Daphnia pulex: one gene and its partner. The protein of the gene in region 1 purifies or fractionates together with the protein of each later gene. This does not show direct contact. Links are inferred from orthologs where the notes say so. Each region holds a gene or a part of one and is shown on either strand. Other genes may lie near its edges. The genes, in order: TIMELESS-interacting protein-like and protein timeless homolog.

Region 1 (3,198 bases):
CGATTTCAAAGCCATCAACGCATCGTTGCTGCCTGCTGGATGCGTTTACTGTTGTGGTTTCCCTTCCTGTATCCGGTTTTTTTTATTGAAACATAACGTCAGAACGTCAGATCAGATATCGATATTATTTGCGACGGTTTCAATAAAACGTAGCGGCAAAAAAGGACAGGGCGGGGTATCGATAAATTTTGGGGGGATAAAGACGGAAAAGTGTTTTTGAAGCGATTTTGAAAGGGAAAATAGCGATCGGCAGCCAGCAGCCTAGTTGGAACTTGGAAGAGTAGGTCGATAACCAAAGAACTGAAAAAAGGAAAGAAGGTCTATAGGGTCCAAAGCTCGGCTGTATCTCTCATGTTTTATTTACATTTTTTCTTTGTTTCCCTATTTTCAATAAAATGGAAAATTCTATCAAGAAATATTTCTTATTTAGTTTTTACGGAATTACTACTCATTTAAAACAATTATTTCACTTTGACGTTAATCCCTATTTTGGCCTAGAGTGATTGTACTAACTATACAAGAATCGATTCCCCTCTTCGTGAGAAATTTCGTTGCTTACGTTTTTATAAGATTAGACGAATCTTGTTGCTCTAGGGATCTTGGTAAATTATTTAATAATTCACTTATGAAGAAACTGAACATTCAACAAAGTTTTCCACAAACTTCACATTTTTATTTCAAAGTACAATTGAGAAGAGAAAGTGGGATCAAACTGCTAAGGCAAATTTTCAAGAAACATGTCAATATCCAAAATTTCAGAGTTGTTTTCATTAGTTTCAGCTGTAGTTTCAGATATCACAGTATCCACTGTAGCATTTAACTCTGGCAATATTTTAGAGGTAAAGCTCTCATTTGAACAAGTATCATTTAAATTGGAAGTATTAAGCATCAATCTTGATTTCCGTTTTTCTTCAGCTTTTCTTTTGTTTTCAGCCATTCTACTCTGTTGATCTTCAGATATATGAGTCAGAGACTGCGAAGGTCGCGACATCACAGTACTAAACACATCTGTTCCTCTTTCAGTAATGTTGTCAAATTGTGCATCTGTGTTTTCCAAAGTTTCCTCGATTTCTTGTTCAGTATCTAACATTCCCATTCGAAATCGTTTCATATAGACCTATCATACATGTCATAACATCAATTAATGTAGGTTCAACCAAATACAGACAAATTAGATTAATAATACCTGCACAGATTTGTTATTCCCAAGTTTTGCAACACTTTCAATGCAATCATCAAATGGTAGTTTAGGAAACAATCGATGAGCCCAGTGTTCCATTTGAGAGAGAACCGTTTCAAGATCTGATTTCTCATGACCTTTCCCTTGCAATTTTACATTTTTAAAATTCTGTATGACAGCTGTGATTCCTCTTGGACCACATACTCTGTTATTCCAATAAAAATGTTGATTGTAATATAAAAAGTAATAAAATAAAGTGAATTAATAAAGGTGTAATACCTGTTTGGATCAAGCTTTAACTGCTGACTCCTTACTAATTTACGTGTTTTGGTTGTTTCTGACTTTTTGTCCCCTATAATGAAAATAATGTAGGCTTTAGATTGGAACTTATTTTTCATAAGACTAATTACACTTACGTTTTCCTTTATCAGCATCTACTTCCCCATTCTTTGAGTTTGAATCATTTTCTTCGGCACTGTATGAGGTTTTTTCGTATTCTCCAAATATATCATCAACTTCTTGATCACTCATGTTAAATTCAAATTGTTATTCGTTTGGGCCGGGAGTGGAGTGGAGTGGATAAAGTTTGGGGTTGAGAGAATGCGGGATGGATGTAGTAAACTGCGGGGTTGTGTGCGGTTTCTGATGAAATCGATTTATTATTAATCGATCCGATCGTGGCATGACGCAAACCCAAATTCTCGCGGGAAACGAAATAAACCATTTTGAAATTTCAATTCTTTTGAAACTTGATTCTTGAAAAAAAGACGCTTGATTTCTTAAAAATACAGCTATTTTGACAGCTATTCATTTAAAAATTCAAAATGCGTTTGAGTTTTAATTAAATGGACGAGATATGAAGCTTTTCGTCAAAGACCCATTTGTAACGAATTCAAAGCCATCTTCCTATCGTTGCTGGATGCGTTTACTGTTGTGGCCCCCCTTCCTATCCGCTTTGCTTTATTGAAACATAACGTCAGATCACTTATCGATATTATATTTGCGGCGGTTTCAATAAAACGTAGTGACAAAAAACTCTGTTCCAAAAAGATCCTCGCCGCCAACAGGGAGCTTCTCTGCTGCACGGGAAAGTAAGCCGATGTGGTTTGGGTGAGTCTGGGTGAGGATGTTGAGACGTCTGGAGTGGGTAATCTCACGGAAAAGATGGGCCCAGAGAAGTGACAGCGTCTTTAATGCTTTGGTGTCCTTGTCGCTTCTCTTACTTTTCCTCTCAAGGAGAAAAAGAAGAGGTTTGGCCATGTCCAGGACGACGTCCGTCTGTTTCCGGTACACTTTTTCCAGCTGATCAATGTTGGGCATCGATGCATTGGAATTCTTTGTAGATTTAAGGGCCGCGTAAAAAGTCTCGTCCAATTTTGGGTTCGTGAACAGCTCAGAGGCACTGATACTAGCCTTTTTGTCACGTTTGACGTCAGGCCTGTACGCCTCTCTAGCCGCCTTAAGGTTCTTCTCACCTATGCCCTTCACAATCCAATTGGCGAGGACCGACGACTTACGTTTGCTAACTTCAAACCTTTTCGACTTTAATTTAATAATGTCTGAAAAGGTGCTTGAAAAAGATTTAGATGATGATGCGGAACTCGAAGATGAGTCAGAGTCGGAACTTGAACTCGAACTCGACTTACGAGAACGCTTTGACTTACTATGCTTAGCCATGCTTGCTATGCTAGAGCAAAAAAAGATCTGAATAGTTTAAGCGCGTTTGGAACCTCATAGGCTTCACCCACACCCTCCTTTTTCTTTCTTTAGTATGGCACTGTTGCCATACTTCAAGTCAAGCTTGCTACAAATATGCTGAATATAAATGGTCACACACAGTTCTGTCGAACGAATTTTACTAAATAATCCTGTTCGTTACGCAAGTTTGGGTTTTGCCATTCCCTACAATTTGCTTATTAAATTTACATATGTGTATCGTGGGTTAGTTCAAATAACAAGCAAATGACAAGTAAATAATTCATTTGAATTCTGATGTGCCCATTGACAAAGAATGATTT
Region 2 (4,484 bases), on another chromosome or scaffold:
TAATAATAATAATGAACAAAAAAGAAGAAGAGTGATATGATGACGTTGACTTGTAAACGATCAGAAAGAAAATGTGAATAGCGAATGAATAGCTGTTGGAGAGTAGTACCTAATCCGGAAGCCCTTCCGCCGGCCAATGAATTTCCTGACAAGAGATGGTCTTCAAAAAAAAAATAGTCAAAAAATTATGTTAGCGCTGCCAAGTTGCTGAAGAATTCTATTCCCACACTATTTGTCAATGCTCTGTTTTTCTTATACAGGATTATTCTGAGAAAAATTCCCAAAGGCAATCTATCAACGAGCAGAAAAAAAATATTTCTTTTTAAAAAATTTTACAGCGAAGAAGATTTGAAATTCAAAAGTTTCAGCAACGTTTTTTGATTGACCGCAAAAGTCCGGTGGCTCCTATATATACAGGGCAAAGATGTTAACGAGGCGCAGGCGTGACGTGTACACATTTTCAAGCCCTGCCCCTATGTAATGAGATGAAGAATAACACAAACCACACACACATCTCTCCTCCTCGAAATTAAAAAGTGGGGGGTGGGGGTGGTGGACTAAGTGAAACGGATGCCGTTCCCACGTCAACAGTAGGGTCCAAAAGTTGACAGGAACCCAACTGCTGTCGCAGCCGCTAAGACTTGATTAAGCCCGTGTATTTGGCAAAGAGACGATAAACAAACTTATTTCAATACGTTCCAAGTGGAGAATTGAAAAAATAAAAAAAGTTGCAAAAAAGCGGAGACAAACAAAGCCATTGATTGTTTCCGCTGCAACTTTTCTTTTGTAATTCCTCATGTGCGTATTTTTTCGAAAGAATCGAAATCATTTCATTCGGATTCGCTACTATCGACGATGGCGAACCGTTTGCGACTTGTTGTTGACGCAGCTGTCGACGGAGTTTCGGCATCAACAACAGCCTCGACCTTTTGTTGTTCAACATCTTGCAGTTTCTCCGGTGGCGGTTCTTCGCTTTCGCTGTTTGAAGATTCCGAATTGATGATGCGGCGACGCTTTTGAGAGCCCAAAGGGATTGGATCGTCAGCCACTCGTTTCGCGCTGCTGCTGCTCCTGCTGCTGTTGGTGTTGGCAATCGTTTCGACCGGTCCGGCCAAATCGTCCATGGCATCTCCGTCGCTTACGGAATCGGTCGCCCCTTTTAGAAAATCGATCCTGGAACGTAGATCAGCCGAAGTCAATGTGGAAGGGATGCGCCAGAATTGCTCCTAGAAAATGACACGGAAAATAAGAAAAACGGATGACGGAGTTTCCTTCCAAAACTGTTGGGGGCGTTGAAACGATTATATGTTTAGAAATCAAAGAGACGAACTTGTTCGCTGGCGGGTGGAGCCAATCCCAATTTGGCGATAAATTTCAAAAAGGTGTGGTCCTCCATGGCGTCGTTGGAAATGTCCGTGAGCGGGACTATAGGGATGGCCTCCTCATCGCCTTCTCCATCTTCACGATCCTCGAGGGTTTCACTCAGACACTCGACCAACCAGGCTAAGCCTTCTTTACGGCCTGCGTAGAGTTATCGAAACCAGTTAAGTGTCTGCGCCTGTAAAGTATGGGCGCCAAATGGCGGCGGCCAAATGGGGAAAAAAACAGAAAACAAAAACTCACCGTCGCTGACAAGTTGCCGGAGTGGCGCTGCTAACATTTCGGGACTAAAATAATCGCTTTTCTTCAAGGCGAATCCGTACTGTTTGGGTCGATGTCGAGTCTTGAGCTCCTTCGTCTTGCTGACAGGCTCGTTGTCGCTTTCCCCTTCGTCGGACTCTTCACTTTCGTCCGACTCGGAATCCCCCAGTCCGGCAGCAGGTCCTTCCCTGGGCTCGGCTCGGCCGTCTTCGGAATCCGATTCATCGCGGTTCGATTCCTTGCTTCCGGCTGATTTACCTGGACGTTTCTTTCGTAACTCTTTGACGTCTTCCACCAGGCCCAGCTCGACGATTTTTTCGCGGACGCGATTCTTGGCACGACGGACGGGCAGCCGGTCGATAATCATTCCAAGCGGATCTGTCACAATCGGAAAAAACAAAAAAGTTGAGCGCCTGAAGCTCTCGGCTAGAAGATGGGAAATTATCAAAAATGAATAGACCTGATGATTCGCGGACTTCAGGGAAAATGCGTCTGAGCTCCTCCACTTCGTGTTCGGTCCATTCTTTGGACGGGCGGATTTTGGAGGATCGTTTCGTCTTAGCCAAGCTTTTGGCGTCCATAATGAGACCCATTTCTTTCATTTTCTTGATGATGACTCGTCGACTGCGGGTCTGATTGATCAGATTGGCCATGATTCGATCCACGACGTCTCCTTCTATTAAATTTAATTGAAGTAAATGAAACCAAACGACAAGACTACAACCTCAATAAAGGCTAAAAGGCTAACGCATGCGACTCGTACGCAATAAGGTGAGCGCAACGGAAACCATTCAAATGTGAATTGAAAATTTCATCACACGACCCGACCTACACCGCAGGTCCGTTGCAACGTGAAAATTCCATCCAGTGTCGTAATCCCTTCGTCACAGCCATAAGTAATCCTTTCCTTAAAATCGATTCCTTCATCGGCGCTACCCAGCTAATATACTGCTGCCCCTATTTGGAATCCCGAGAAACGGACATTCTCGTGAAACGGAACGTGGAAAATGTATACGCGTTAACACGGAGGAATGCGAGGAACGGGATCGAAGAATTGAATCCTGTCACGATTAAGTACGTCAAGAAGAAAAAAAGAGATGTTGGGGGATAGACTGCTGACGGAACATGTTTTCTGAAAAAAAAACTGAAGGATCGCAGAGGGGGTAAGAAAAATGGGAGGAGCGACGTAGTTTTGTAAAAATAAAAAATTCCCATGCGGAATGTGTACGAGCGCAACTATTTCATCTGGTTGGTCGTCGGCGGCGTGTCACGGACATGGCGTTTCACGTTTTCAACACATTCGTTAGATTTTATATTCTTCCCTTGCACTTACGTGCTCCTGCCTATTCTTCTTTTGCTCTTATCTCTCGTCGTGTTGTTTTCTCCCATGTACGTCTGTCAAGAGTTGGCTAATTTTGGATGCTTCCGGAAGGACCCTCCCCCTCTCTCTTTTCTCTGACATCTCACAGCAAAAAATATATCTCTCACGACACACTTTTTGGGTTGTTCACGGACTGTTTTTGGTTCACGCCCTTTGAACACTTTGGTCCCGGGGCGACAAACATTTCCCACGTGAAATAAAAGAAGAAAACTATAAGAGAGAGGGGGGTTGTTCTCTCCATTCTTTTTTAAAATAAAAAAAACCGCCGGCTGAAAAGGCGGGAACGGAAGAGATTTTTGTTTAAGTTTTTCAAGAGTTATTTCCCATTCGGACATCACAAGACGGATTCGATGTCAAAATAACCGGGAAGCACGACAAGAAAAGGAAAAGAAAAAAGCGCTCGTTATTTACCCCCTTCTTGGACGTCTCTGAATTCTTGATGGAGCCGCTGCAATTCATCTTCTTCCTCTTCGCTCCAGCCGAAACGCGAGCTGGGGCTTTGATCAAGAACAGGACAGATTATTTTAATTTTAAATTCGACGAATAATTAAGATGACAAATGAATAATGAGTATTTCGTGTCGCTTCTTACTCTTGGACATTGCCGTAACCAACTTCGATCTCGGCCGCCTCGCGGGCCGTCTTCCAGAACAGCAGTTCCACAAAGATTTTCGGGTTGACTTGTGCCGTTTCCGCAAATTTTCTCATGATGTAAATAGCAAACTTGTACAATTCCTAATTGCACAATAAGAAGAAAAGTTGAAAAAAAAAAGTTATGTAAAGAAACAGGACGAAAGAAAAAATTAAATGTAGTAAATCGGAATAGAATGATAATAAACCGATAATCACTTTGACAGTAGTTTCAGTTTTGGCCCGCGGATCGTCCATGATTTTATGGAATGTCTTGAAAATGGACAGCTGAAAAAGCATAGCAGGCATTTTGCAATCGTAGGCGATCCGGTGGAGAATTTTGATCACGCAGTGGTTCGTCAAAGTTGTGTTGGTGGAGTAACTTCGCAAGAGATGGCAGTAACTTTTGACGACGTTTTTGTGAGCAAATCTATTCCCAGATGGCACAAAGAAATGAATCCGATTATTTTTACATTCAAAAAGAGAAAAAAAAAGGACAATAAATTTTACCTGCGAATAAACTCTTCAAATTGAAGTTCTTTTTCACTCCTTCTGACTGTCGACATCTCCTCTTCTTCTTCCGCTGTAGTAAAAATAATAAAGTTTATTGAATACCAAACAGTACAATAAGTTGAACAAGTACCCGTTTCTTTGTTGTCAGCATCTTCTTCTTCGCTTTCGGCATTGGGCTCCTCCCCTGCAACATCTACTCAGGAAAAGGACGGCAAAATTTTTAAGATGAAGACTTTTATAAAAGGAAATTACTCTTAAATGCAAAACAGCTAATGAAAGAAATGCTCTTTTTAGCTGTAGCTTTGTCATCCATCAAGTTG

What was found.
Region 2: the proteins of TIMELESS-interacting protein-like (region 1) and protein timeless homolog purify together in Homo sapiens (affinity purification with western blotting; 6 studies listed by BioGRID and IntAct, counting the BioPlex papers as one, with this or other methods). This does not show direct contact. The link is inferred for Daphnia pulex from reciprocal best matches to the Homo sapiens genes TIPIN and TIMELESS.

Annotation. Positions count from the first base shown.
Region 1 is NC_060019.1:12,256,448-12,259,645, forward strand, and holds TIMELESS-interacting protein-like, read right to left. Parts: upstream 1,797-3,198; 5' UTR 1,712-1,796; coding exon 1,597-1,711; intron 1,533-1,596; coding exon 1,460-1,532; intron 1,386-1,459; coding exon 1,187-1,385; intron 1,118-1,186; coding exon 716-1,117; 3' UTR 652-715; downstream 1-651.
Region 2 is NC_060024.1:12,856,583-12,861,066, reverse strand, and holds the end of protein timeless homolog, read right to left. Parts: intron 4,358-4,484; coding exon 4,295-4,357; intron 4,235-4,294; coding exon 4,162-4,234; intron 4,082-4,161; coding exon 3,871-4,081; intron 3,757-3,870; coding exon 3,614-3,756; intron 3,520-3,613; coding exon 3,434-3,519; intron 2,318-3,433; coding exon 2,102-2,317; intron 2,020-2,101; coding exon 1,624-2,019; intron 1,522-1,623; coding exon 1,331-1,521; intron 1,227-1,330; coding exon 831-1,226; 3' UTR 641-830; downstream 1-640. UniProt on the Homo sapiens protein: Plays an important role in the control of DNA replication, maintenance of replication fork stability, maintenance of genome stability throughout normal DNA replication, DNA repair and in the regulation of the circadian clock.